Linked DNA regions of Astyanax mexicanus. The main gene of each other region encodes a partner of the protein of the gene in region 4 in a complex. Links are inferred from orthologs where the notes say so. Each region holds a gene or a part of one and is shown on either strand. Other genes may lie near its edges. The genes, in order: orc4, orc5, orc2 and orc3.

Region 1 (7,656 bases), on a different chromosome or scaffold from region 4:
GTGGCCACTGGTCTTGAATAAATGAATGGACTGGTCCAGATATTAAATCAAGTGATTCACAAATGTGCATAGATGAAGTGTTGTCTCCTAATCTAACCAAGACCAAGTATTTTTTACATAAAAGCCACAAACTAACAGGCTACTTTCTACCACATACTGACAGCAGCAACAGGGCCTACAAACCAAACTGCACTTCATCTATACACCTTGGTGACAGCTTTAATAGACTGTCAATTTAAAACTAGATAGTTTTTAGTATTCGTATTATTTTACAGAATATCTCCTTCTAAAATGGGAGTATACATACATGTACTCTGACAGGATTAAGGAAGCCATGGCTACGTACTGCATCACAGACAAAATCTGGTCCAGATATAGATAAAGTGATTGTTTGAGTGTTACCTTTTAATCTAACCTAGACAGCTAATATTGTTCTTTTTTAAAGACAGGATCACAGAAAAACAGTCCACTTTGATTAGCTGGCTAGGTGAAGTGATCTGGCAGGCTGTTGTTGACTGGCTTCAATAAATACTAGCTAGTGAACAAGCTGTATCGTTCCTAGCTAGCCAGCTTTCCCCCCTCATAAACCATACGCTGATACCTACAAAATATAACCTAGATAAGAGATAGCTATGTTATGTAGTTAGTGTAACCGTGTAATAGCTAGATGCCCTAAAACAGTCGCAGATACTCTGAGCTAAGAGTGGCTTGGGTATTCGCAGCTGACAGCAGGGCTTAAAATTGTAAAATTAATAATAATTAGGTTAAAAAAACAAACCCAATTCAGGCAATCAGCTAACCATAGTTAGCTGGCAGACTAGTATAAAGCCTATGAGCTTAGTTAGCTTCTTAGCTAGCTTTCAACTACTACACTGGCCCAGCTGCTATCTGGTTAGGTTTGCTAACGCTAAAGCTTTCAGGTTAGCTAGGCTGTGCTAGCTGAGCTAACATGACCATAGGGGAATAAATACAAGCACCAGAAAAAAAGTACACCAGGCTTCGCTTTCGGGGCCGTTTAACACGACGGAGGGTGAAACAGGGGTCTAGCTGGATGTGACAATAATGTGGGGAAAACAAGAAGAAAGTCAGCTGGATGTAGGTTGGAGAAAGAAGTCGACACCGACAGCAGCAGCAGCTACAACAAATAAGGCGAAGTGCTGCTGCTACGGCTACGGCTGCTGTGGATAGCTAACGCTAACTAGCTAGCTAGCCCAGCTTACTGGCTGGCTAACGTTCATTATGCTAGCCTAGGTAGCTATCTTAGCTAACTGCTAGCTGGGTGGCCTGACCCATGAGAGAGAGAGGAACGAAGAGAGAGAAGGAGAGAGAGAGAGAGACAGAAGGGGGAAATAATACATACACAGTTAAGCTACATATTGGGCAACATTAAATATAACAAAAATAACTTTAAACATATACGTACCTTGTTATTCCGCTTAACGCCGCGAAAACAGCCAAGTTAGTGTAAATACGTGTCTACGAGGCTGGTTCAAAGTATCCAGAGAAACGTCTCAAAAGCAGAGAGGCCAAGCGGAGGAGGAGGAGGCAGGGGGAGCGAGCTAACAGCTAACTAGCTAGCTAATGCTAGCGAAAGGGGGGTAGGTAGCTAACAGCTAGCCAGTGTAGTGAGAGCAGAAGAAACGGAGAGACGAGAGGAGAGATAGGGTAGAGAGAGAGATAGAGGAGAAGAGGAGGAGGAGGAGAGGCTCTCAGATCCCTCTCCCCGGATTTTCTATCTCCTAACAGCCGTCCAGCGCATCGCTGCCGTCGGTTTGAAGTCCCCGAGAGGTCGACGGCGATGGAAAAGTCCGTTTTTAAGGCTCGTCTCAAATCGACTCTGTCCCTTTAAAAAGAGAAATAAAAAAGCTGCCCCATCCGCTGCCTCTGCTCTGCTGCCTCTCTCCGGGCTGCCTGCTCGGGGTTAGAAGATGGAGCTCGGCCCCGCTGCGCCCCCATCAGGACGCTCAGACAGCTGCTACAGGACCACAATGCACCGGGCCCCTCTCTTCTCACACACAAACACACGCGCATACACACACGCACACAAACACGCATACGCACACACGCATACGCACACACGTATACACACCAGCAGAGCAGGAGGGCTGGAGGAGGTGGATGGGTGGATGGCTGGTGTGTGGAGCGTGGAGCAACAGGGACACGTTTTTTTTTCTGATTTGTGTATATTGTATACTATTCACAAGGGCTAGACAATATGGCCAAAATCTGTATCACATTATATGTGATATACTGTCTCAAGAATGATTGCAATAAATGATAATAGTGTTATTTTAGGAGCCTTTTTAATTTTTTTAAATGTTTTAATTACATTTTTATAATAATGTTAAATAATACCACCACCACCACCACCACCACCACCACCACCAACAACAACAACAACAACAACAACAACAACAACAACAACAACAACAACAACAACAACAACAACAACAACAATAATATTAATATTAATATTTATTATTATTTTTAATAATATTTATATTATTGTTATTATTACTATTAATAGCATAATAATGAAGTTACACCATTTAAAAGATCAGTGAACTTTTAATCAATAAGAATTTGAGAAAATCCTAAATAATGGGTGATATATATATATATATATATATATATATATATATATATATATATATAGTCACAGTAATTATTGCAATAAACAATAATAATTTTATTTTGACACTTTCATAATATAATAATAATAATAATAATAATCATCATAATAATAATAATAATAATAATAATAATTTAACACTTTCAAAATGTAACAATTTAGTAGCATAATAATTAAGTTACACCCTTTTTAAGACCAAATAACTTTTATTCATTAAGAATTTTGAGACATCATTAAAAAAAACTAAATAATGGATGATATATTGCCCCAGAATTATTACAATAAATGATAATGTTATTTTAAGATTTTAAGAGCCTTATTTTGACATATTAATTTGCTCTACTTCCTAAGAAAAAGCATAATGTACAATATCACAGGTCAGCAAAAATTACTGATGTTATTTTCATATATTATACAATAATCTGATAATGTAGTTATTGTGTTAGGCCGAAATCTGATATCAAAAGGGACTTTATGAATCCCCATGGCCTTAATGAAATAGCATAGACAGACAGAACTGAGAGCTGGGTCCATAAGCAAAATGTGGGCTTGTGTGCATTATGCCTTTCCGAATAGGCCTTTTTTTATTCATACAGAGATATTGTGGAGAAAAGCTGGTAATTTCCTTATGTTTTGTATTTATAATAATAATTCACAGAAGTACATTTAAAAAGTCTGCATTATATCTACCCATAATCTCAACAAATTGTTTATTTTGTACATTTATTTTATAAATGTTGTTTTTCAGATTTTTGTGAAAATATCTATCTAGCTAAATGTTTTTCCAATAAAGCTAATTACAGCGTGGATATAAAGATGTTATTTTTGTTTTTAACTATGATGTCTCATTTAACTATGATGTCTGGCTTTAACTATGATGTCTGCACAAATTAAAATTTGGTAATGTCCCTTGACATCCATTTTTTATAGTATTTCTTGCTGAATTAGATTTATTTATGGCGTCTCTAAATTGTCTTAGCAACAAAAAAGCTGTATCCACTATAAATTATTAAAGGAGTTTAATTTGTTATTTTATAATATTTTAAATATTTTGTTTAGTTTGATGTATGACTGTTTGTTATAATTTATCTTGCATGTCCTTGTTATATTTTGTTGTTTTTGGAAATTAAACCCTTAACGGGCCTTGCCGCCTTGGCCCATTTACAAGCTACAAGTGTAGGTGATACCAAATCCTTTTTTCTGCAATTAAATTAGTTATTTACATTCTGAAAACAGTGAGGGCTACACAGACTCCTACAGGAGACTTGGGCAAGTTGTCTGTTCAATCTCTACTCCACTTAATAATCTCAAATAAGTAACAGGAATCAACCCCAAATGCTTTGACATAAAACTAGTCAACCACACCAAACAAAAGGTTGAAGGACATGAAATGTTTAATTTGCTCAGGAAAACGCCAATTATATATATACTTGCAGATTTACACATTTTAAAAATATTTTTATTAAAATTACAACTAGGGTTTTCAGTAACGTTTTCATGAAACCTTTTTATGTACTCTTTAAATAGAAATCCTCAAAATAGAGGCGTGCAATATTAATCAGAGAATTAACAAAAATATTAAGAACATGTGGTTTCATCCATGATTTTCTGTTATTTACTATGGTTTTATTGACCCTAAGCAGATCATAGATCAGCACTCTAGCACTATACTGAAAAGTTTAAAAATGTGACCTGATTTTTTAATCCACCAGTCCTAAATATCAACATGTTGAGCTAGGGACATGTACACAGGTTAATTAATTATGCATTCCCAAAAATAGGAAAACATACATCCTTAAACAGGAATTTACAATATTTATTTGGAGATATAGTTAATAGTTAATAAGATTTATATTAATATAATATTATTCAGGAAAAAACAACAAACATTGAGACGGTGATATTTATAGTTAAACATGAAATATTAACATTAGTTATTATTAATAATATATATTGTTATTAAATACAGGTAATATTAGAAATATATTAATATCTAGTGTAACCCGGAAACCCATCTGTATTCTGCAGCTCCGGTTCCGCCTGCTGTTTGCAGAACTGGCGCGAAATCGGTTCTGTTGTGATCCGCGGAGATTTATTTTTCTCTATTTTAAGTCTTTTTACGGTTAAAGGCTGTCAGAAACAGGTAAGTAGAGCTTTAGGGTCGCTGTTATTCTCTTTTAGTAGTTCGGCGGTGAGTGCGAGGCTGCTGTCGAAGCTAAACATTTGCTTCACTGTTCGCTTTGTCGAACTCTCTGGTCCACCTTAAATGATCCAGCAGTTTCCTATGGGCGCACGTGTTGGCTCCAGAGTGTAACCAACGCAGCAGTTAAGGTGGAACAGAGAGTTCGACATTTCGAGAGATCGAAGAGCAAGCAGCTGTATTCTGCTTTTAAGTGGTGGGTAACCCAGGTCCAGAAAGATAAATCCATCCCAGGGTTATGTACTAACTGGCTGGGCGGCTCTGCTGCAGCTGAACTATACACAGAGCCTTCCAGGTAGTCCGTTTAAAACCCTGGGCCAGTTGTTCAAAAAATGTAATCCGGATCAAAATTATCCAGATTTGGTAATCACATTTTTTGCTATCCAGGATCAGGTGATCTGTCTTACTTTTAAGTCAGTTTTTCAAAGCAATATTGGATTGGATCAACCTGATCCAGAAACACAGTTTTCAGGATTACCTAATCCGGATTACCAGCTATGTAAAAAACAGATAGAAGAACCAACAGGGGTTGATGACTCCTTTTCTTGCAGTAACAAGATACTGCTTATTGCAAAACAATACGAGCAATTGAGCATTCTGCAGAGACGCTTTGCATGCCTTAACTATTTGCGAGTCGAACCACAGGGAGCATGCAACATAACACTTGCATGTATTGTCCTGCCCAATGTTGCTACCAGACGCAATGTCCCTCTCTGTGATGTTCATGATGCACCTGAGCCTGTTGAAGAACCAGAACAAACTCTGGTGTTCTTTTCAATTGTTCGAAATTATTTTTGACAGCTTCATATCTGATAAATGTTTCTTTGACATTAATATACAGTGATGAATGACAGTGACGTAGATGAAAAAATGAATATATTATTTTTGTTTGTTATTGAAATCTTTTGGGGGGTTTATTTAATGGGGTCAAGATTGTTTTTATTTTTACGTTACTATAGTAAAAGGCTTAATTGGTAGCCAATGTCTACTTTATTACTGTAACGGTTAAACAGGTCAAGTGCAAAATAGAAGTAAATGTATATACACTAAATTGTACAAATGTATTTTTTTTTTACTTTAAAACTTTGATTTTAAAGTTTTACCACATTTACTTCCTGAAATCCCCCTTGAAATCCTACCCCTTGTTGGGATCAGGGTAATCCTGTTTTTTTGGATCAAAGTTATCCAAATCCTACTGAAAAGTTTTGAACAACAGAAACTGAAGGTTTGATCCATTTACAAACTAGGATTGGATTACGTGATCTGATCCGATTTCAGAATGCTTCTTTCCCTTTTGAACAACCCGTTTTCCAGATTTGATCCAATCCGATAACCAAAATCCGATCAGATTTCCTCTGAACAACTGGCCCCCTGGGATGGATTTTTACTTTCTGGACTTGGGTTACCAACCTCTAATATCGACAGCAGTTTTACAGATAGTCGTATAAAATCTTATTTTACCAGGTTTATCGTCCCCTAACGTGCAGCTTTAACTTGTCTTTCTTTCTTTTCCAGAATCATGAGCAAGCGTAAGTCGAAAGACGCCAGTTTGCCTGTTGGTGAATGCGTATCTCAGGTTAGTCCAGCCAAGATGACTAGTTAAAAAATGTATTGTTTTTTTTTTTGCTTTAATATCAGTGTTTTGTCGAGTTGTGCTACCTTGTCAAACGGTGCTACTAGTAGTATTTATTTTTTGAAAAGGTAAAAATACAGCAGAAGCCTATGTAGGATATGTGGATAGGCTAAATCACTGTATCAGAAAAAGTTAAGGTCATACGTGACTAGACACCATATATCTTTAAAAGAGTTTTATAGTTAATAAAAAAATAACTTTAGGTTGCTGTTTTGTAACTGCTATTTACAGATAGAAGAAAATTAATCATAATAAAACATATTTAGGGATGTCCCCAGGGAACGAGTAGATCACATAATTTTCTAAGGATCAGAATCAGGTGGAAAAGATCCAGATCACTGATGTATCATATTTCTATGAGCAGATGTACCTTTAAGGCAGCGTGAGTGGCAGTGACCTGAAATCTCTTAATTTAAATATTTTATTTACATTGAAATACTCATTATTTAACAAATAAGGAAATCTGGAAGGCCAAATGTTTACATATTCATGCACTGTTTAATATTTGAACTGTTTGGAACTATCCTGAGCTTGTTAATGGTATAAAAATAGAGATTTACTTGCATGGACAAAGCTATGCCCCATATTGCTAGCATTGTAAGCCTGTTGGGAGCATCAGTTAACAGCGCTAACTGATGGGGATGAATGAAGGTGGGCTATTCAACAAACGTTTGTACGCATTACCATGTTTCACTACAACCCAGGTCCATTTCAAAGCGATTGTCTCCTGTAATGCATAGTGCAGTGATTTTTATAAATTGATGTGCATTATCCAATTATACAGGATTACAGAACTTATAGATTTCTACCTGATATTCAATTAGATGCTGCATAAGTGTTTTAAATGTATCTTAACATGTCCTATGCTGTTTGTTTCAAGTGACACATACATGGCTTTTTACTTATTACAGGTCCAAAGAATAATGAGGGAGCGATTTTGTCACCAGAAGCTTCCTGACAAACCTTATGGATTGGACTCGCAGTACAAGTGGGTTGTTTATGTGTTAAATTTAATAAATAAAATTGTGTTTGTAAGCTGTCATTAACAGAAGATGTGAGTGTGATCTTTTCTTTGTTTGCGTGTTGTATAAGTAAGAAGTTTTTGTGTGTGTCTTTTGGGGGTATTTAGGCACCTACTGGAGCTGTTGAGAAGAACAGCAGTTCATGGTGAAAGTAACTCCGTTCTCATCG
Region 2 (6,890 bases), on a different chromosome or scaffold from region 4:
TTTAAAAAAAGAGGTTTCACGTCCCAAAATTGTACTTTCTACAGTACTGATAAACCTGCATGTAATCATTACTGACCTACAAGAGGTCAATTCACGTTAAAAGTGTTTTTTCTGGAGTACAGTGTGTATTATATAGTGTGTGTAGGTCTGATTTACTCACAATGTACCGGGTCTGCTGGGCCGGTTTCTGAGCGCAGAACTGCCTGTAGATCCGAACGAAGTCTGAGAGAGAGGGAGAGCGAGGGAGCAGAGTGGCCGACTCGGAACCAAACATCGCTAACAGAACCTGCTCAAACAGCAGCCCTGCAGATACACACTCCACACAGCTCACCGCTGCATGAGGAACCTATACACACACAATTACACACATACAGTAATTTAACATTTAAAGAAAAAATCAGTTAAAGAAAAAATATTTTTGGCAGGGGAAACATTTTGGGGGATTTTTTTGCACTTTCCAAATACAAAGTCTTAGAATGTATGTATATAATATTAATTCATGTTTACATAGTAGGGGCATGCTGTATCGTATCACAGGCAATGATATTGCAAAAAAGATTGACACAATAAAAAAAATCCTTTTATTTAATCCTCTATTTTTTAAAACGCAGATCCGTTTTGTATTTGTTTTGCTATTTACTGAATTTACTCTTAACTGTATGTTTGCAGTTTATATATGCACTAAATATCTTGTCTAGTTTTGTGGTTATATTATTTTTGCTACATTTTTATTTTGTTACACTATTGTTAGTTTATTACTGTTTACAAAATAGAGAAACATTTCTATATATTTTTTGTTTTTACTGAAGGTATGAAACCGTTATATTTATACAAAAAATGTTTATTAATATATTCTTGAAATTTATATTTTTTTATTTCCGTGTTTTGTTGTTTTCCCTAGAATATAATCATCACATAAATACCACAAAATAACTTTTTCTTAAACATTTTTTAAACAGCTATATCAACCACCCCCACTGCACAGTACCTCCAGTTCTTTCAGCAGGGTGAGGATCACATGGCTCTTCCCCGTGGCTCGGTGGCCATAGATAAAGATGGAGGGGAAGCAGTACTGCTCCGGCTGTACATAGGGAAAAAATGGACAAATTCAAAGATGTTTTCATGACACTGAAACATAAACAGGTTTGAGAAACACTGAATGAATGTCTGATCTATGAAAGAGAAAGGATGATATCATAAAAGATGGGAAACTATAAAACAGATAAGACAAACCTCCCCCATTAGAGCCAGCAGCGTTCCTGCCTGTCCCTCTCTACAGGGAAGCCGTTCGCTCACAGAGCTTAGTTTGGCTTCAGGATAGCCGGGACACTGCAGTCCAGCCAGCATCCTCCTCAATCTGAGAGAGACAGAGTCAACATCAATCAACATGCAAAACTTATCCTTACACACAGCCCTAGTTCTAGACTGCTTTTCTGATAAGCCAGAGCTGATGATACTGGCTAAAATTGACGTATGATACTGGCTAAAATTTCATGTGTCTTCAACAGAAAACAACGCATTAAAGGGTTTCCTACAGTGTATATACAGCATATTTAACGAACATTTATAAAAAACAACATCTAGGGTCATATAGACTACAAAGGAACACATAAGGAAACTTACAATAAATGGAAAATGTTAAACAACCCACAATACTCTGTGACGCATTTAGGTATCTGGGGATGGTAACTCTGATAACCTTATCCTGTGTGCAACAGAGCTAACTCTTGGTCTTGCTTCTCTGAGACAACCCTGATAAGAGTCAGTTTCATCATAATGCTTTAATGGTCTTTGTGACTGCACTTGAGGATACTTTTAAAGTTCTTAAAATTGTTCAAATCAACTTACTTTTATTTCCTAAAGTCATTTTTTACTTAGTTGAGTAGTTCTTGCTATAATATGGATTAGAACATTACTCAAATACAGCTATTTACTGTATACCATTTCTACCTCTTCACAACTTTACAACTGATGCTCTCAAACACATTTAGAGGCAAGAAATTGTTATTAACTCTTGAAAAGGCACAGCTACTTTAAATAATCTATTCTGTTTCTTAACACTTTATTTGTTCACTATATAATTCCGTTAGCTTTTCCTTATAGTTTGGATGACTTTTGTATTATGTACAAACAACAAAAGTGAAGGAAACCAAAGAAAATACGACTTTTTATATATATATATATATATATATATATATATATATATATATATATATATTTTTTTTTTTTTTTTTTTTTTTTTGTGCATTAAACAACCTGAACTCACTGTTCAGCACAAACGTGTAAGTGGAAATTAATAAGAATAAATACTTGAATTATTAATTTTAAAAAATACAAAAGCAGTTTGTATTTACCTCTTATTGGGATAACGTTACCATAACACAGTGATTTATGCTATCCATATATTAGCTAGCTACATCTACTGGGACTTTACTGGTAATATGTTCTAATACGGTGTTTCTTTTGTATTTTTACAGTTAAATATACACTAGGGTAGCACGGTTTGTCAAGGTAGCACAACTCGACAGAACACCGGTCTGGGGCTGGAGGTTTCAGCAATAGGATGACAGTTTAAGAAGAGAATCATTTAAAACACGTATATTTTCTGTTAAATAAAGTAATTGATATAACTTATATACGTTCTGTTTATACACTACAACACCACCTATCTCCATCTAAAATCAGTAACATAAATATATGTGTGTGTATATTTAGTAATATTATGGGATAGAAGCTCGTGTTGTTGTATGTTGTGCTGGTATGAACAGCGCGGTTATTTAAGTTATATAGTTTAATAAAGTTCTGCTACACTTATAGCCTTTCTACAGATCAAAGAAAAAAAACAGATTACTTACTTTATAAACACTCAGCCAGAAACCCCAACACACACTCATTCACACAGGATCCACACGCTGCTTCACTTTCCCGCGAAGGTGACGTCACATCCGCAAGCTGGGAGTTGTAGTTTTTAGACGCGGAGATTTGTAGTAGCGAGTTTCAATCGCTTGTTTCTGTATATTTCTAAATAACAATGTATTTATTGTGAACACGTGTTTGAGTTGGCCTAGGTAAGGTCATTTTAATTCTACTGTAGTTTTCGATTTTTTAAATTAGCAAAAACTATAATTGAATTTCAAAATTAAAATATGTATATGATTAAATGGTTCAATTTAAACTACTTTACCCGAGTATTAAGAAGATTTTGGGTGTAAAACAGCACCTTAGCAACACCTATTCAACCACTTAGCAACACCAAATTGGCCACCTCTAATACCACAGCAACCACCTTGCAATTTTTTAACAAATCCCTAGGAACATTACAGCATCCACCTAGCAACATCATAAGAACCACTTAACCACACCTTAGCAACCACCTGGGATACAATAAAGGATGTTAGCTGTGCAGCCATCCTGCGCTCTATTTTCTTGTTTTATTTACTTTAAAAAACCCACAAGTGAACCTGCACTCGTTTAAAAAGGTTAATTACGGTAAAATTGTGGGAAATCAGAAGAAATAAACTTTTTTTGAGGGACTTCTTTGTCCCAGAACGACATGTATTTTTTGCTCATAAGAATGTCAACAACTTATTTGACTTTTAAAGACCCAATTTAGACAAAACAAGGATTGTAAAGGAACGCTTACTGGTTTGGAAATACAAATAACATTTAATCAATTATGAAACGTGTATAATCAAAAATGATTTGGTCTGTTATTTAATATAAATGCACACATTGGAATACAGACATTAACTTTGCTCTGAAAGACATATTTTATATATGTTGTTTCAAGGTGTAACGGAAGCAGTGTGTGTAAGTGTGAAGGGCGCAGTTAGAAGGGGCAGTGGGGAACATTCCTTTTTATCCCATGGTGCACCGCTGGCTCACTCTATGAGCTAGACTTGTGGTATATACCTGTAATGGATGTTTAAATGTTACAGTAGGCTACCTCCCATGAAGCTAGTTTACTTCAGTTTCAGTCACTCCGCCGGGTTTTTACACTGTTACACTGAAGTTAGTGTCACTCTCTGAGCACTTTATGTGCTGTAAGCGAACAGTACACCCTATAAATAAACGAACCTCCCTTCTTTCTGGTACATGCCACAATATTATTTAAAAATAATTATATTTTCGCTTATTTTCCACTATTTTTACGTGTCGGACCACTAATACAATAACTGATTTAAAAATTGCCCCACCGTGCTTTGTGTTCGCTAAATCAGTGCGCGGTGTTTCGCAATGGAACGCGACCATAATTTTAAGCGCACTACTTAGGGCACCGGGGGGCGTATTGGAACGCGCCCGAGCGTGCAGTTCTGACCTGCTGTGAGCGCTGTTGAGCTGCAACTGCTGCTGCTGCTGAGTGTGTGCGTGTGTGTATGTGTGTGTGTGCTGTATGCTCTCCCTGTCATCTCGGCGCGCGTGCTTCAGTGCTTCAGTCCAGGACACATTTTAGAGAGAGAGAGAGAGAGAGAGACAGAGAAACATAGAGGTGTATATATACAGACAGAGGTAGAGCGAGTTAGAGAGATAGACAGAGGGAGAGAGAGAGACGGTGTGTGTTTCTGACCAGAGATGGGCTCCAGAGGCTGCAGAAGCTCATCATCTTCTTCATTGCTGCAGCCTGGAAGATGCTATTTTTCACCACGTGAATAATGAATGGGGCACTCATGGCTGACCACTCTGCATTTTAATGCTGTTTTCAGGGATTCATCTGTCATTTTTGGCTGAGATGAGAGCAGGCTGCTGTGGGAGCGGTGGTGCTTTGCTGTTGAAGAATCTGTAGAGCAACAAGGATGCAGGTATGGACGTGGAAATTTGTATAATTGTGCCTGTATGTATGCATTTATCTGCTTATATCTGTTTATACATATAGTAAAAGAATGCATTTTATATTTATAGACTATGCTTCATTACAGGATTTCTGGACATGATATGAGATGTTTGAGGCATGATGGTGTGAATGAGAAAACAAACACCAACCCCTTGATTTATTTGCAACCGATAAGCAAAAAGAAGAAAGAAAACAACCCGAATCAAAATCAGTTAATGCACCGAATCATACTAGTGACACCTGATTATACCACAAGCTTCCACGACACGATTCCACCAAGTCTACCCCAGCTTCTGGTGCTGTGCAGCTCCAGCTCCACGAGGTCTGCATCCAGGCGATGGTCCCTGGAACACCAGCAGCCATGCTCCCCGCTTCAGAAGCCGCTAAAATCTACCAGACCAACTACGTGAGGAACTCCCGAGCCATTGGAGTTCTCTGGGCCATCTTCACCATTCTCTTCGCCATCGTCAACGTGGTCTGCTTCATCCAGCCCTACTGGATTGGCGACGGGGTGGACACCCCCCAGGCCGGCTACTTCGGCCTCTTCCACTACTGCATCGGAAACGGACTGTCACGAGACCTCAAGTGCTACGGCAGCTTCACCAACTTCAGCTCCATCCCTTCGGGTGCCTTCAAGGCTGCTTCCTTCTTCATCTGCACCTCTATGGTCCTGGTGCTCACCTGCATCGCCTGCTTCGCCCTCTTCTTCTTCTGCAGCACTGCCACCGTCTACAAGATCTGCGGGTGGATGCAGCTGGCGGCAGGTGAGCAGCAACGTTTAGTGGGTGATGGGGTTGTGCGGTTGTTAAGATTCAAGCAATATGGGACAAAGGTAGTCTGTCATAATCCACCATGGGGATTGCTGGTTCAAATCCTTGGCCATGCTCTCTCTGGGTGGGTACAACAGGTGGCGCTCTCTCCCCTTATCACTCCCATTGTGATGCTGGTTGGTACAGGCATCTGTCAGCTAATGTATCAGAGCTGGGTATCTGGCACTTTCCTTCACGTGCGCTGTGATGCTGCACATTGATTGGTGGCAGTTGGAAAAGAGGCGGAGACTGACTTCACACATATTGGATGAGGCATGCACTAGTCTTCACCCTCCTAGTGTTTGTAGCATTACTTATAGGAGTAGTTCTAATGAGAAGTTGGGGATGTTGGTCCTCCCAATTGGGGAGAAAACTGGGATGCAATTAGAAATAAAATGATATAGATATAAAAAAGATTAGAGCGATAGTTAGGCTATCCCCACATTAAGGTCTTGTGTCTAAAGTTTACTTATTTAGTTTGTATGGGACCCAGTAGGTTTATGTGGATTCACTTTATGAAGAATAACAGTCATAATTGCATTTTTTACTTAAGCATTTTGCAGCCTTAGTTCATCCGTTAGAGCTAAAGTATACCCATACCCATCTCATACTCATCCATATTCCTACCAATCCACACCCATCTATACCATACCCACTCATTTCTAAATGTTTGCATACCCATTCATATCCAAAATTACCCATACCCATAAATATATTCATACATTATCATCAACCCATCAATACCCATCCATACCAATCAGTAACATACTGGAACATTTACCCATACCCATAAATTCATATTTAACAGTACATACATACCATCCATCCATTTCCATGAATATTCATCTACATCCATCAACACTACAGTATACCCCTTCTTCCCCAACCACACCTATCTATTCATATTCACCTGCAGCCCCAACCATTATTATCCATATACACCCATTGCTATAGACTCCCATTCCCATCCATTTCAATCTATGACCATCTTTTTTATACCCACTCACCCATGCCCATTCATAACCATCCATAATTTCAGCTATGCGCACCCATATGTAAAAGTCAGATTTTGTGTGGTTTCTGCTTCTGAATTCTTTAGTAAATCTGATGTAGCTTAGCTCATTATTTCCAGAGCGGATTATAACCATATTTTCATTAGAGACACACCATTTATACATTTTTATGGTCATTCAGATTTTTTTTACAATATAATTCACTGCTGGACATTTTTATTAGCCTTATATTAATCT
Region 3 (6,994 bases), on a different chromosome or scaffold from region 4:
GATGGTTTATATGGTTAAAATGGTTTACATTTGTTGCATTGAGTAGTTTTTTTTAAACATGATTCTTTGGAACAGTGCTTCTCAAATCTTGTCATCAGAAACTCCTAGATGGTCCACATTTTTAAATGTCTCTGCATTTTGCAGTTTGCATAGAAGGATAAATTAATCTGGGGGCATTTGTTTGAGAACCCCAGCTTTAGAGAGTCATTTTTGTTAGTGTGCAACGTAAATGTGTTAAGAACCTTATTTAGGTTTAAAGAATATACACTGAAATGCCACATCATTTTATCTAGTGTTGTGTGCCATGACTTTTGTCATGTCCCATAAAGCTAAAAACATGGCAGTGACCTGTGGGATAAGTGTGTGGGACTTTCCTCATTGAATGTGTATGAAATTTCTGAGTCTTCTATTTAAGTGAAGGACAATTCTAACCAGACATCACCAGTTACGATCATTGCCTCTCACTGCCCTGTCCACTGTGGGTGGTAATTTCCTCTATGATTCACCAGTGCTCACAGGACACCGAGGCTAGAGGAATGATAAATGCCCATGCAGCTTTGGGAAATGGGATTTTCCATCCATCTGGCACTACCATCATGCCCCCCTCAAACTTAATAAATGTCTCCTTGCCATGAGCACACTGACCAGTGTGTAATCTCACTTAGAGAACCTGAGGTGATTTTTCTATGCCATTGCTAAGAAATATAGTCATTAAGGCATTTTGACCTTAATTAATTCTGCTGTATTAGTATCCTCATGTTTTATCTCCATGAGTCTTTGATTTGACTGGCGATGAGTTTGTAGCTGTTTCAAATGCAGCTCAGTGCAGCACAGTGTTGAAATGAGCTCATGGGGTGCTCTGCGCTCTGCTGGTGGCGGCATGTATCTGGAAACGCTCCAGACAGAGTCTGAAAGAGCCATCTGCTCTCAGCCGGTGCGTAACTGGACCCTCTCGAAAAACAGATGATTCCTTACTGTTCATAAGGAGTGCCTGGAGCAAACAGTATGGGCTGCGGCTGGACCTATGAGCAGAGGGTCATAGGTTCAATTCTCGCTGGAGAGTTACAGCCGTTGGTGGCATAAAAACAAAGCCCACATTCAGAGAGCCCACAATGGTGTTTCTTATTCAATGATCCTTTCCCAGAACGTTATGGCTTGAAAGGAAGGTGTTGCATTCCCAATAGATATATAGACAGATGCCAAATCCAGCATTTATCAGCCAAAAAATCCATTTTAAGAGATCTTTTTTTGGTTTAGGATCAAACCAAAAGCAACAGCAAAGCAGGCCAGGAGCTGAACAAACAGAAAATAAAGAAATTAAGCACAACAAAGGAAAACTAAACTGAAGGCTTAAGTAGAACTGATGAGAAAATGTATTTTGGTTCCAGCTCCTGCAATTTTAGACTATCTGAAAGCCTTAAGATTTGGATAATTTGAAAATATTATGTAAGAAATATTAATTCCTTAACACAGTCAATTTATACAATGTTATTTTAACCTAAATCCACAATAACAAGGACACACAGTGTCATTAATACAAAGCACCAAAAGTACTAACAGTGCCTGCTTTTGGACAAGCTTGCTAAACATGAATGAAATTTGATCAATCTTATTTACATGACTGTTTTTTGTTAATCTCTTAGTAAAAACTGTTCTATTTAAAGCAGGATGTCAGAATCTCTGAATTCCATCTATTCTTTGACATCAACTCTCATCATCAGTGGTAAAGGCAGTAGTATTATAAAATTGATTAGCACTTCTATCTATTTGGGTCTCAGTAAATCATTCTAACACAAAGTTCTATCTGTCTTCTATCTGTGGTTCTATCTACCGCAAAATCTGTTGGATTGGTGTGAATATTTGAGCTGCATGGAATGGATTGGACACCATTAGGAACCTCTACAATTCCAAGCCAAGATATATTACCCATATCTTCCCACTGAATTGTATTTGCAATTTGTAATTGCAATCTGACTTGCAGTCTTTTTGGTGCAACCCTTTTTCCAATTGTTACTTTAAAAAAAATTATTTATGAAGATTTTGTGGCGTACATGAGAAGGAATCCAAACAGGCAGCATTACTTGGCCTTAAGGAAGCTCTTTATTAACAACTTACTGCTTGCAAACAGCAATCAGAGTAGGTTAGAAAAACCTTTCCTAAAATTACCAGAGCTTGGTGTAAACATTACAATAGGGTGTAACAGTCAACAACTAAACACTCTTTTCACATTCTGAACAGTAATTACAGTTATACCCACAAGTCTAACTCATAGTTTGAGCCAGCAGTGCACAATGGGATAGGAAGCACTGTGCCCCGCTGCCCCTACTGCCTGTGCTCTCCAGGCTGCATTTACTCAGTTTCTAGCCACGGTCTGCACAATATCTAAAGCTTTGAAGAGAGTATTCTATACCAGCTCCTTTAGTCACCATATAAATGCACAGTCTCAGACAGCAACACTACTTCCTTTCAAGCAGTCAAGGCTGTGATAAAGTTTCCTTTTCTCGCCGCTTTGCTTTTTAAAGTGCTTTCATTCTGGAACGGCTGAATTTGATCTTTCGGTTCTGGTCAGTGACATTTGCAGACAAAGCTCCATGTGTTGGTCTGATTGAAAATGTTCAGGCCATTATCGCATGACATTTTACGGAGGACTGAGGAGGAGTGCGGCACAGGCCTGAGTGGCAAATCTCGGCTCTGCTCTGTATTGATAAGCCATGGAGCAGCCAGACAGTTAGATTCCTATAATTTCCACAGTGTAGGCCAAACTTACAGACCCCTATCCTGTTACAGATTCAAAAATTGAGCACAGTGGCTGCTTAGAAAATTGTCCTTGCAGTGTGGTAGAGATGGATGGGCTGCTGAACATTGATACTTCCAATCCTATCCCATCTTTCTGAGATTCATCCTGCATTTAAAGTGTTTTCTGTATACAGAAAACTGAATTTCTGTACTTGTGAAAAAACTGTTTACTGATATGACAACTAGAGTCGTTGGTCTGTTAGCATGGACATTTTACCCAGACATATTTGAAATTTGCTTTTGCAAGTGAAATATTGTTTCAGTAGAACTGTATCAATTATCAAATACTTTTATATATTAGTAAAGCAAATAATTTCACAATAAAATTTAATTCTGGTATGATTTCATAGATCTTAAAAAAATAAAGTGATAGCATCTCAAAACAATGAGAGAATCTACATAATTTCTTAGTATCTCAAAAAAGAAGAAAGTATCCCAAAATAAGGACATACTATCTTAAAATAGTGACTTAGTATCTCAAAATAACCACATAGTATTTCATAAAAATAAACCCAATAATATCTCTAAATAATGAGATAGTATCTCAAAACAATGACAAATATTTTAAGATGATACAAAGTATAAATGTGCACTGCATAGTATAATAGTGCACTACATATTATAAAAGTGCACTGCATAGAGTAATAGTGCACTGCCTAGTGTACTAGTGCATTACATAGTGTAAAAGTGAACCATACAGTGCATTAGTGCACTACATAGTATACTAGTGAACTACATAGTTTCATAGATAGTGAAGTATCCCAAAAATATGTACCCCAAAAATAATGAGATATTATTATATGCTACAAGATTATTTTGAGATACTGCGTCATTATTATGAGATACTATGTCATTATTTTAAGATATATAAAAGCATACCAGAATTAAGTTTTATTGTGAAATGATTTGCCATTTTAATATATTATAGTACTTGATAATTGATAAAGTTCTACTAATATATATATATATATATATATGCTTTCGGTAGGCTAAAAGCACAATTTCGGATACATAGTATAAAAGTCCCCTCATAGTCTAATAGTGCACTACATAGTATAATAGTGCACTACATAGTGTAAAAGTGCACTAAGTAGTGTAGTAGTGCACAGGATAGAGGACAGCTGGTGAATGGGACTGAATGAGACACAGCCCTGGGCTGCAGGCTGTGGCGTCACGGCACTTCCGCCCACGTGGTGTGAATATTTTTGTGGTGGCGCGGAATCGGAGCGGGTTAAGGAGTCGCTGCGGGGCTGCGGGGCTGTAAAATGTGGTGCAGTTTAATGTAAAGCGCTTTTTCTGAGGGAATATTAATACAGACTGTTCTCAGCGGAGAAACAGCGCGCGGAGGGGTCTTAAACCCGCTGCTTCTGGAGGAAGTTCTGCTGTTTTCGGGGTGAGTTTGGCCGCAGTGCAGCCGGTTCTGTAGCAGCAGTTCTGTTTCTGCTCCACTAAACTCCTGCAGAAGAGAGTGGAGATTTAGGTTTAGAGCTGCACAGACCTGATGGACTTGAGTCAAATTTAATGTACTCTTGGTAAAGTGTTATTTGAATGTGAATAAAACTTATAAAACTTATATTGCTACTTGTACAAAACTTATAAAAGTTATTTATTGTGAATGTTCTTAAGTACTGGACAATTAAAACTTTTAGCTGAACCTGTTCCTGAAAATAATATTGCTCAAAGTACTTTTTACTTGATGAGTCAGTTTTTTTGTACTTTTACTGAAACAGAACTAAAACTCACACTCTTTTCATTTATTCAGGTTATTTATTTAAAGGGAACTCCAGTGTAAAATGGTTTGTGTTGTAGTGAAACATGATGACAAGTTCACACTTTTGTCAAAGTGCCGACCTCCAATCTCCCCCAGCATTCCAAAATACAGGGCTTTTATCCAGTGCTCCCAACAGTCTCACAATGGTAGCGATAAGGGCATAGAATTGCTAATGGAAAGAAAAAACTATTTTTACTCCATTTAAAAGCTCAAAGTAGCCCACACATATCATTGGTAGAATTCCAAGTGTCCTGACATTTAAAACAAGGCTCTGAGAATTTTGAAAGTGCACAGGTAGTTTATATAAAAAGACAGTGTTTATGCACACAGTACCTTTTAGCTAGTTCTTGAAATTAAGTCATAAGTCGACTGAAGAGCACGAACGAATAGGTAGAATAGGTAAACAGATTGCAAAATAAATTCTGTGTAAATGAATGAATGAATATTAAAGAGAGATTTTCAGCAACAACTGGAATTCATGCATTTCCATGCATCTACCTACTTGTTTTTGCTTGTCAGTTGACTTTGAGCTTGTTATTGGTTTAAAAAATAATAATTTCTTGTGTATCTCATCCACCAAAAAACATTTTGACTTTTTTTCTCTCTCTCTCTCTCAGGTCCAAAATGAGTCCACAGAAACGCACTGCAGGTCCTGGAGTTTTGGAAGTCCAATTCGTAGGAGATGAAGATGTGCTAGACCACATTGTCGAGAAACATGAAGGTGCTGAGATTGACACACATCTCTGTTTTCTGGGTGTTAAATCCCATTCTATTTCTTAATGGACATTGTCGTGTGTACTGGGTATACATCATAAAAGGCATTACTGCCCACAGTGGACAGCACAGTGCATTGGGTGGTAATGATCGTGACCAGTTGTCCAATTGTTCTTGAGAATAAATAAGCAACTCTATTAGAAAAATGTAAATGGATTGATAATGATGCACTACATTTCTGGAGATTCAAGTATCTGGTCCTGTTGTGTATATGGCTTGAAACGTTTTGGTTCAGGTTTTTACTCTCTCTATTCTAATTGTATTTTAGGGTCTAGAGCACTCAGAAGTTCTGCACAAACTCTAGTGAGCCTGAAGAGTCTCAGAAAGAAAACGACAGACTCTGCAGAAGGGGAGGAAGAGGAAGAAGAGGAGGGAGTTTTTAACAAGCAAAACTATGTGGAGTCGCTTGGTTATGGAGCAGAAGGTAGAATTTTTTGTCACACAAACAAAAATTGCCAAGAGAACACTGAACAATTCTCAATATTATTAAAGAACTTTAAACTGATTGAAAAAGTCATTTTTTGGCTGTAATATCGGTGATGTTTCCATACTGTGTTTAAACATTGTTGCTGTTTTGTTTGTGTATCCTGTTACACAGCTGGAGATGAGAATGGGTCGGCCACAGCAGGAGCCTCAGTGTTCACCTTCCAGACCATCAAACGCTCCAATAAAATGGCTCAGATGGGTGAGTTAATAAAAGATTTTGATTTTGTGTCAGATTTTTTTTATTTATTTTTTTTTTACATATTTTAAAGTAAATTAAGCTAGAGTTAAATTATTAGTCTGATGATTTTAAGATGCTTGTAAATGTTGTACACTATACCTCGCTATACATTTCTCTTTTTATCTCTCTCAATTTAGCTTCAGAGTGGGCACGCACTCCTGGCAAAAGTGTCACATTTCGTACCCCTGGGAGTCCAGAGGAGGCAGCCAGCCCAACCCGGGCAAGCCAGAGTTAGTAATCATATCATTATTTATCTATCTGTTTACAGTACCAGTCAGACGTTTGGACAGAGCTCTTCTCATTTAGTGTTTTTATATGCTTTTTGTTTTTACATTGTAAAGGTAATATTAAAGACAATATGAAAGCTAAGGTCACATTCAGAATTATACTGAAAACAAAAAGCAGAATATGTTTAATAATGAAAATTCTTTAAAGTAGCACATTTAGCTTTTGGACAGATCTGCACACTCTTGATATTTTAATCTTTTTTTAATCTTGGTATTTTAAGCTTTTTTTTCTTCACACTGTGAAGCTCAGCTCATTCCAAATCACCTTAAATCACCATCTCAGTTGAACAGGTCAGGGGATTGTGGAGGACAAACACTTTTTCTTTTTTTAAATTTTTTTTTTATTACGTAATCCCATATGTGTTTTCATGTCTTTAATATTAATCAACAATGTACAAAATAAATAAATAATGAAATACATTGAATAAGAAAGTGTGGTACATGTCTATACATTCATTCAAACAATCCATCCATCATAGGCTTATAATGTATAATAATCCTACTGTTTATTCTTCCCACTACAGAAGTTGCCAGTCAAAACAAAACTCCTCAAAAGGTAAATTGGAACCTTCATATATGAGAATGACTGTGTTTGTGAGTTTCTTCTGAAATCAAGAGTAATAAACAGTTTAAACTTTTAAG
Region 4 (8,014 bases):
ATTAATACTCTTAAACAATCACATAATTAGGTGGTTCTACCGATGCACACAAGATAAATGTTTTAAAAACAAAAAATACATGGTCAATTTCCCCAGAAAGGCATTAAGCCTAGTTTTAGACTTAATTCCTTTCAAGGGTATATTTCCAAACAAAATGCTGTGTGGTCCAAGACCAGGCACAATCCCTATCCAGGAAACCAACCCATAGGGTTCTAAACTTTTGTATTTACAATTATTCACAGAAAATGACCAAGGTAAAAACTACGCATTTTTGACACTGAAATATCAAGACTATACCAAATATAGACTTAGACTTTACTGGCATAAAAGTAAACTCTACTTAAAATTAAAAAATATATCTTTACATACCAAGCACCAAAGCAGCTGTAGGAATCTCACTGGCTCTCATATGAGATGTCCAGTCATCCGTTCTGGACTGGAAGCTTGAGGTACACCTTTTGATGAAATCTAAAAGGCTGTCCAGTATTTTTGTATTTAGCTCCTCTTGCAATACCTGTTTAAAAGGAAAAACACATATCAAAATCTTATACTCTATAGCATTACCTAAATCTTATATATTACTATTCCACATGAGAAAAACACCACACACCTCTGTGTCCATTTTAATCTTCTCCCAAAGAGTTTGACAGATGTTGAAACGTTCTCTGCCATTCCCACAGTCATCACTTCCATCTGTGAAATACTCATCTGTACAATGAACATGATGAAGGATATGAGGCAAATACTTCAGATCAAAGGTGAATAAATAGTTACAGTAGTATGAGCTAATCATATTATCCTTTACTCACCAATAGCAACAGTGCGCTTTCTCTTCTTAGAACCAGGCTTGAAGACAAAGCATCCCTAAATATGCATTAAAATAAGTAAGAAAACAAATGATAAGTGACGGCCTGGATGATGTATTGTTCCAGCAGTAACTGTGAAAATGATATCACCATCATTTTACTGCTTGGACTAATTGCTCACCCTCCACTATTAACTATTTCAACTTTAGCTAGCAATGTTTGAATCGATTTCATTGCTGTGGTGGAAATTCACCTGAACATATCAGAACTTGAACGTGAATGTACAATGACTTTTTATCATTTAATTATAAGTATTATGAGCCTTTGATCCTCCCAAGATTTCTTCCTCCAGCTCTGAGGGAGATATTCCCTGCCACTGTCGCTCACTGGGGATTGTATTTTCTATGTTTTGTCTGATTTTCTATCCTGTTTGTATAGGGATGTCGTTATTGGTGCACTGGCTATTGTACGACTGAAGTATTGATGAAGTTGTACTTGTGTAAACAAGCACACAACTAAATACAATGGGCAAAACTACGATAAAAAAAAAAATAGACAAGTACAAGTCATATGTCTAATTAGTTGATAATTGTTGGGACATGCCTAGCCATACACTATTCATCTTTTTTAAGATGGCGCAGCAGCATATTTACTTTATAGGGAAAACGTTTTATCTCCGAACTTCCTTAAAACTACTACTGCTGCACTATCAAGAGCATCCTAACCACCTGTGAGCCAGTATGGTCCAGCAGCTTCACTGTTGCTCACAGTGGCCCTGCATATGGTGGTAAGAAATAAATCAGGGCATCATTGGCATACAAGTGAAATAAAGTTTATAGGGTTTACAGAAAGTGTGCGACAAATCTTAAAACAAAATTAGGCAGGTGCCAATTAAGGTGGCCAATTGCAATTTTTTCTCCTTTTTGCATCTTTTCTGAAGAGCGGCAACATGGGAGACTCAAAACTACTCTCAAATAACCTGAAAACAAAGATTGTTCAACATCATGGTTTAGAGGAAGGATACAAAAAGCTATCTCAGATTTCAGCTGTCAGTTTCCACTGTGAGAAACATGGTGAGAAAATGAAAGATCACATGCACAGTTCTAGTTAAAACCTGAAGTGGCAGTCCAAGAAAAATCTCAGATAAAAAGAGGTGAAGGATGGTAAAAACAGCCATAGTCAACCCACAAACCATCAAACCTGACTGAACTGGAGATGTTTTGTAAAGAAGAATGGTCCAAAATACTTTCAACCAGAAGCCAGACTCTCATTGGAAGCTATAGGAAGCGTTCAGAGGCTGTTATTTATGCAAAAGGGGGATTTACTAAATATTGCCCAAATTTATGCACCTGCTTAATTTAGTTTAAAGAATTATCACACACTCTGTAAATTCAATAAGCTTCATTTCACTTATCTGTTCTTCTGCTATATGATATATTTAACTAAAATTGCTTATCCAAACAACCAATGATTTATAAAAAACATGAAAATTATCAGGGGTGCCCAAACTTTTTCATACTACTGTAAATATTCACCCCAGCACTGTGTTTCTCCCTATTCAGCCCAACACGGTATAAACTTCTTCCATCTGTGAAGATACAGGAGCACCCATGCAAGTACAACACTTCACCTGAATAAGAAACGTGTCTAGAATGAAAACCTAGGTTTATTGTTTTGATATTTTTGTACACTTTTAGTAATCAGAAGACCTGAAATTACAGCTCCTCTGCAAGAGGTTTAACTTTAAGTAGCAAAACTCAGTGTATTGAACATAAAGCCAGCTAATAGCTAGCTAATAATGTTGAAGGTTTATAAGAACGCGTGGAGGAAACTGGAGTTCAATGTGCATATCTTCTGCGAGACACGCGGCTGAGCTTTATCTAACTCTTCAATTCCACCTTAAATTCTGCAGAAGTTATACATTCTGACGCTGCACGGTTTAAGGTGGATCGGGAATCTGGTAAGTGAAGTACTCAAGACCCGCTTTAGAAACCAGTACACCCTGTCCGGATACATGTCTGAGAAACCCAGTATGTTTTACACGCTATATCTACTATTTTAACCTTTTCCTGAACCTCATAAACCGGTTATTTACCTTAGAGACTGAAGAAGTGCTCATCTTCCTTACAGCAGGCTGAGCTGGAAACAAGTCGCAACTTCCGGTTAGATTTCCCGCGCTAATGACGTCAGAGACAAACTGCACGCTTAATGGTCTTTAGAAGTGGAAACTGCTGTAACACAATAAAAATTAGGTCACGGGGTATATTAGATTGTGATTCTCGTTATACAGAGGTTATAGAGAGATTGTTGAAGAAAACCTTGGTCACTCCCTTGTAAGTTTTCTATTTACATTAAAATCTGCATAATGCCTACCCATGTAATTATAATCTTGCTAAATTTATAAATATAGATCAGAACTGTTCATTTTGCCCCAAACATCCAGAAAAACTAGAACATTTTTAAGGTTTTTATTTACAATATTTTTGGAAAGCTCTAGCTAAATATTTTTCTAATAAAGCGAATTACATGGTAGATATAAAATGTAAAGATGTAATTTTTGGTTTTGACTGTAAGGTCAACTTGTTGAATTTTATTTGTTTATTGAGTCTCTTAACTGCCTTAGAAACCAAAAAAAGCTGTGTCCACTATAAAGCACATGAAGAAGTTAAATTGGCTGGTTGATGAATCATCTCCTCATGATTTATACCCTCAGTTGATAAGATGATTTGATTCTATCCCTTTAGGATACTGGTCTATGTCAAGAGTGTGAGCTAAGCCAGTTATTTTGACCTAATTAAAATGACTAAATATAATGAGATAAATACAACTTTTTTATTTAATTTGCAATTGCAATAGCTTTCCAAGACTAGAACACATTTGCACATTTGAGGGCTTGTCCTCAATCGATTAGTGAGGTGATTTTTATTATATTATAAAGTTGACTTGTTATTAATAAAGGCAGCAGGCTATAAATATTGCATAATTGTCTTGTATGATCATTGAGTTTTATTGAGTTTATTTATTAAATTTTACTTGGCAAAATGCTCTACAATTGTTTTTGTCATTTCAATCCTACTTTCTAAAATTTTGGATTAGGAATGTTTCTAGTTGGTTTTACTGCTCGACTGTATGATAAACATCTTATATATCCTCTTAAACCATTGCTCATTTTTATTTAGCCATAACTCTCGTATGAGTTGTCCTTATGCTGTTGCATGTGAAAAAAAGCAGACTAGATTTCTGTCAATAATACATTTAAAGGCAGTTAAATTAACTCACACATTTTTTTTATTTCTCACAATGTATTTAATAGGTGGATTAAAAAAGGTAAAATTTTATTTCTTGCAATAAATCTAAGGGTGGGTTGGAGAACACATTTTTAATATAAAATAAGTAGCCGTGTTGAATTTCCCTGTTGTTTATATAAGGTTTTAGAGAAAATTCTATTTTTATTTGTACAATAGTTTATTTTTGCTCGTACGCTTAAACTCACTAATTTCTGTTAATAGTTTTTAGTTGGAGAAAGGTGATTGGTTCAGTTGCCTGTCAGTCAAAAGCCTGAGTAGTGGGCGGGACATAGAAACAGTTGGGAGCAGCAGGGAGGGAGAGCAGCTACAATCCTGCCCAAAACATGCACAAAATGTGGATAATGGACAGTTAAACCACCTCTGTGGCACTTTAAAGCATCTTTAATAAGGTAGATTGTGTGTGTATATATATATATATATATATATATATATATATATATATATATATATATATATATATATATATGCCTCCTCAACCTAAAAAAATTTAGACTTGAAGCTAGTCAAACCTGCAGGTAAGGATATTAGGTTGCATAGCATCCATGCTAGCTAGCTAGCTCAGCAGGACTAAAGTAAAACGTGTAGCTGCTAAGCTAGGCCTAATAGTGTAAATGCACGGACAGGGTTTTTGGAGAGCAGCACAGAGCTAGAGCACAGAGATATATTATTCCCAATTAAGCTACGCAAGTGCATCTCAAGATATTTCACAATATATATATACTACAGATATCCTACAGATGAAATAAAAGCAAAAACGATGTAAAAAAAAAAAAGCAATATAATAGTAATAATATTATGAATGAGGATTGCTTTTTATTTGTCATTTTTCCCCTCATGTTCTCTTATTGTACTAAGCTTTGACATCCTTTATTGACTGGAGTCTTGTCATCCATATATATTTTACATATTACATGGTTCTATCAATCAAAAACTCTGAAAGCCTTCTACTTAAAAACACCTCCTTTATTTAATAATTAATGTATGAAAAATTGGAAGAAGGAAACGCTAAAAATGCATTCAGCTCATTATATTCCACTGGGTGGCGCTGTGAGTATCCCAAATCAAAATGCAACCCAGTCACAGTCAAACATATCAAGCTCCACTATGTTTCAGTTACTTTTGGGAAGCTTTAAGTATTATTTTGTGTCTGTATTATTTCACTGCACGTCATCCACATACTATGGCTTCCAAAGATGATCAGGCAGAGCTGATGATCCCAAAAAAACAGGATTCCTTTTCAGAATTTCTGCTGTAGAAATCTGTTATTCTGAATGTCTAAAGTTTAAAACTTTCCATTAATAATTATGTTTTTGCTCAAATCAACTTTCCTTATTTTATCGCATGTGAGCCTTACCTGGAATCCAACATCAAAACACTTAAAAGCATGATCTCAGTCACTCACTGAAAAGGTCAGTACAAACCTCCAACATGAGATTACTATGTTTGATAGTCACTTTCACCCTTTATCAGCCATATTAAATTATTCTGTTGAGAGATTTGGAAGAGTTATTATAAAGTGTTTTTATACCTTTCTCATCATTCAAAGGAAAGTTAAGACATTTTTTAAAATATTCAAATTATCATTTCTCCTATAATGGCCATTGATAAGGGACTCTATTGTGGTGTCTGTCTAAAATCCTTGAAAAATGGGCTTAGGGATTTCCCTGACCCTACAAAATATGGACATAATCGCAATAATTCTTGCAACTTATGCACTATTGCCTATTGTGCTTACTTCACAAGAAGAGACTATTAAAATGAACAAGCCAGTATGTTGACTTTCATGTTGATGTTTTATTTAATGTATGCTTTATTAATTTAGAATTTTCATTCTTTTTAATATTTCAATGTCTCCTCTATGCAATGTGTGCTGTGTTATAAGATGGTACTAAAACGACAAATTGTTTACAATTATCTTTAGGATAATACACTGTCCAATAAAAAATAGTCATGACGGGCTAAAGAGAACAGTTAATATTTGATTAACTGCTTTGAAGTTGATGTTCTAAGAATACATACAAGGCTCAGACCTTGTTTTATTTGATCTGTTAACCACATTAGACTGCATTTTATATTTCACCCAACGTTAGTGTCACACTGTCCTGTAATCCAACTTTATTTGAAGTAAGACTGAGGTGTTAAACTTGACTGAAACAACAGACACAGCATTACAGAAAGCATCCAGGTTACTTTTATTGAATATCATGTGGAAGACATATACAGAACTATACACTACAGTGAAGTAAAAAATAAATATATACTTAAAAAACAAAAAAAGATCCCATGGGGATATATCAAAACATTTCAGCATGTGTGTAAAATATTAACTTTAGCAAACGCTAATCTTTAAAAGGGAATTAACGTCATAAATACAAATGTTTCTACAGAACATTTAAAACCTAAATGCACATGGTATTTCAATTCAAGTCCATATTTTGTATAACAATGTCTTTTTTCTTTCGGTCTCCCAAGATCAAATTAATTAATGCTTTTAAAACCACAGATAAAATGTCCTCTGGTGTACCTGTCTGCAGCATGTAATGTTATCTTGTCCTGAGTGCAAAGCTTTTAAGAATGACGGAGACTCGAGTCTCGAACCCAGTCATCAACTGCACAGCCACCTCTTTAAAATGACCATAGGCCGCATGTCCTGAATTTGTTTCAGCAAAAGATCAGCACCACTGGAGAAGTGTTCATCTATAACAATCTTGACGTTGTTCACTGACTCCAGATTAAGAGGATTTCTGAAACAAGTAAAATGTTGGTCTCCTTTTACCTCACGGCCGGCAGAGTTTTTGCGGATAACCTTGGCATGTTGCTGCCGGGGTTTTTCCTGGGGTTTCAATGGCAACCGAGTCCAATACCTTTTACGTGATTTTCTCTTCAACGGTTTTGTGGAAGGAGACTCCTCAAACAGCTTAAGGACTGATGCCTCCAGTCCTGAAGGACTGAAAAGCTTTTGTGCGACACCACTCTCTGCTTGCTCCTCTCGACGGGCAGGTGGAGTTTTTGACTTATCTTTAGTTTTATATGATCTTGAAAGCTTTGCAAAACGTTTCCTAGCAACACCAAAGTTTCGAAGACTTTGTTTTCGTTCTGGATTGAATTTTAGCATCTGTTCTGACTTCCGTGGACGTCCCCTTTTGGGTTTAACTTCTGGAACTGATACGGCTGAACTTTTCTCATTAGCCACCACGTCAGCATGAGGAGGCTCTGAATTCTGTGACTTTGAATTTGGATTAGTCAACGAATTCTCTGCAGGACTTTCTGCAGGTTTAGTCTTTTCAACCTCAGTGGGGGCCGCTGAAGAAGCATCATTTGACTTATTTACATCTTTAAGTCGTAGTCGTGAATACTTCTTGCAAAGTATGAACTGGCTCCTCTGATCCTCAATGTATCGCTCTGTGAGACCATGGGTAGTGTAATGTTTAAATACAAGCCGCTCTGAACTTGAGACTGAGTCACAGCCCACAATCATACAAGGATACTGCAGGGGAAACTTTGCAGTACACATGGCTGACGCTTCATCCATGGACTTGAGTGAGGGCTCTCCAAAGCTTGTCCAGTGGTTCTGTAATTTTACATCCTTTTTCTTGGGTGTTTTCTTTTTCAGCTTGACTTTGTTACTTGCAATATTCTCTTTTCCATTGTTGGGACTTCCGCCGAGCGCTTTTGTCGGTACATTTTGCCCCTCGTCCTTTTTCTGTTTCTGTTTAATGGTTTCGAAATTTGCGTTGTGTTTTTTCATGAGATGTCGCAGAAGATTTGACTTGGTGGTATAAACCCTGTCACAGCCCTCCCATTCACACCTGAATGTAAGGTCCACACTCTCAAAGTCTCCATCTGCTGAGACACGTATTGCTTTGTGGTCATTCTTAATGTGATCAATGTATTTCAAAT

Evidence for each region.
Region 1: the proteins of orc3 (region 4) and orc4 are in contact, whole or in part, in a cryo-EM structure (PDB 7JPO), measured with the Homo sapiens proteins. The link is inferred for Astyanax mexicanus from reciprocal best matches to the Homo sapiens genes ORC3 and ORC4. Residues at the interface, in NP_036513.2 of Homo sapiens: Thr227, His260, Arg261, Leu262, Leu263, Pro264, His265, Ala266, Ser269; in NP_001177808.1 of Homo sapiens: Pro370, Lys374, Glu377, Gln381, Ser392, Gly393, Asn394, Ser395, Gln396, Arg397.
Region 2: the proteins of orc3 (region 4) and orc5 are in contact, whole or in part, in a cryo-EM structure (PDB 7JPO), measured with the Homo sapiens proteins. The link is inferred for Astyanax mexicanus from reciprocal best matches to the Homo sapiens genes ORC3 and ORC5. Residues at the interface, in NP_036513.2 of Homo sapiens: Glu99, Val109, Met144, Lys145, Leu148, His178, Ser180, Met181, Asp182, Glu223, Asp232, Ile235, Ile236, Gln239, His240, Ala253, Thr254, Ser255, Pro256, Ile257, Ile258, Ile259, Arg261, His265, Ser269, Cys272, Ile273, Glu274, Leu275, Ser280; in NP_002544.1 of Homo sapiens: Asn62, Val64, Glu65, Phe67, Thr68, Arg70, Leu71, Gln75, Tyr129, Leu270, Arg271, Ser274, Ser275, Ser276, Gln277, Leu294, His297, Thr298, His299, Val300, Glu301, Leu302, Pro303, Tyr304, Tyr305, Ser306, Asp360, Tyr367, Arg373, Pro376.
Region 3: the proteins of orc3 (region 4) and orc2 are in contact, whole or in part, in a cryo-EM structure (PDB 7JPO), measured with the Homo sapiens proteins. The link is inferred for Astyanax mexicanus from reciprocal best matches to the Homo sapiens genes ORC3 and ORC2. Residues at the interface, in NP_036513.2 of Homo sapiens: Thr3, Ser4, Ser5, Met6, Ser7, Lys8, Gly9, Cys10, Phe11, Val12, Phe13, Lys14, Pro15, Arg20, Ile22, Ile26, Tyr29, Phe30, Lys32, Tyr47, Val111, Thr112, Lys139, Asp318, Lys326, Gln329, Leu330, Leu333, Tyr337, Glu589; in NP_006181.1 of Homo sapiens: Leu239, Glu242, Tyr243, Ala246, His247, Asp268, Arg273, Leu276, Val279, Ser280, Phe283, Glu286, Leu287, Leu290, Lys296, Leu297, His299, Lys300, Met302, Leu303, Gln304, His306, Leu307, Phe309, Tyr314, Gly315, Leu316, Arg320, Glu324, Arg327.

What each region holds. Positions count from the first base shown.
Region 1 is NC_064412.1:33,931,710-33,939,365, forward strand, and holds the start of orc4 (origin recognition complex subunit 4), read left to right. Parts: upstream 1-4,648; 5' UTR 4,649-4,775; intron 4,776-6,347; 5' UTR 6,348-6,351; coding exon 6,352-6,408; intron 6,409-7,376; coding exon 7,377-7,453; intron 7,454-7,594; coding exon 7,595-7,656. UniProt on the Homo sapiens protein: Component of the origin recognition complex (ORC) that binds origins of replication. DNA-binding is ATP-dependent. The specific DNA sequences that define origins of replication have not been identified yet.
Region 2 is NC_064409.1:24,354,601-24,361,490, reverse strand, and holds the start of orc5 (origin recognition complex subunit 5), read right to left. Parts: upstream 3,018-6,890; 5' UTR 2,856-3,017; intron 1,358-2,855; 5' UTR 1,348-1,357; coding exon 1,234-1,347; intron 1,082-1,233; coding exon 989-1,081; intron 347-988; coding exon 161-346; intron 1-160. Other genes in the region: lhfpl3 (LHFPL tetraspan subfamily member 3 protein), read left to right, coding at 5,169-5,595. UniProt on the Homo sapiens protein: Component of the origin recognition complex (ORC) that binds origins of replication. DNA-binding is ATP-dependent. The specific DNA sequences that define origins of replication have not been identified yet.
Region 3 is NC_064423.1:30,253,303-30,260,296, reverse strand, and holds the start of orc2 (origin recognition complex subunit 2), read left to right. Parts: upstream 1-3,990; 5' UTR 3,991-4,189; intron 4,190-5,184; 5' UTR 5,185-5,191; coding exon 5,192-5,288; intron 5,289-5,609; coding exon 5,610-5,765; intron 5,766-5,939; coding exon 5,940-6,026; intron 6,027-6,202; coding exon 6,203-6,295; intron 6,296-6,876; coding exon 6,877-6,908; intron 6,909-6,994. UniProt on the Homo sapiens protein: Component of the origin recognition complex (ORC) that binds origins of replication. DNA-binding is ATP-dependent. The specific DNA sequences that define origins of replication have not been identified yet.
Region 4 is NC_064421.1:15,887,416-15,895,429, reverse strand, and holds the start of orc3 (origin recognition complex subunit 3), read right to left. Parts: upstream 3,004-8,014; 5' UTR 2,926-3,003; coding exon 2,902-2,925; intron 865-2,901; coding exon 810-864; intron 709-809; coding exon 611-708; intron 515-610; coding exon 370-514; intron 1-369. Other genes in the region: znf292a (zinc finger protein 292a), read right to left, coding at 6,720-8,014. UniProt on the Homo sapiens protein: Component of the origin recognition complex (ORC) that binds origins of replication. DNA-binding is ATP-dependent. The specific DNA sequences that define origins of replication have not been identified yet.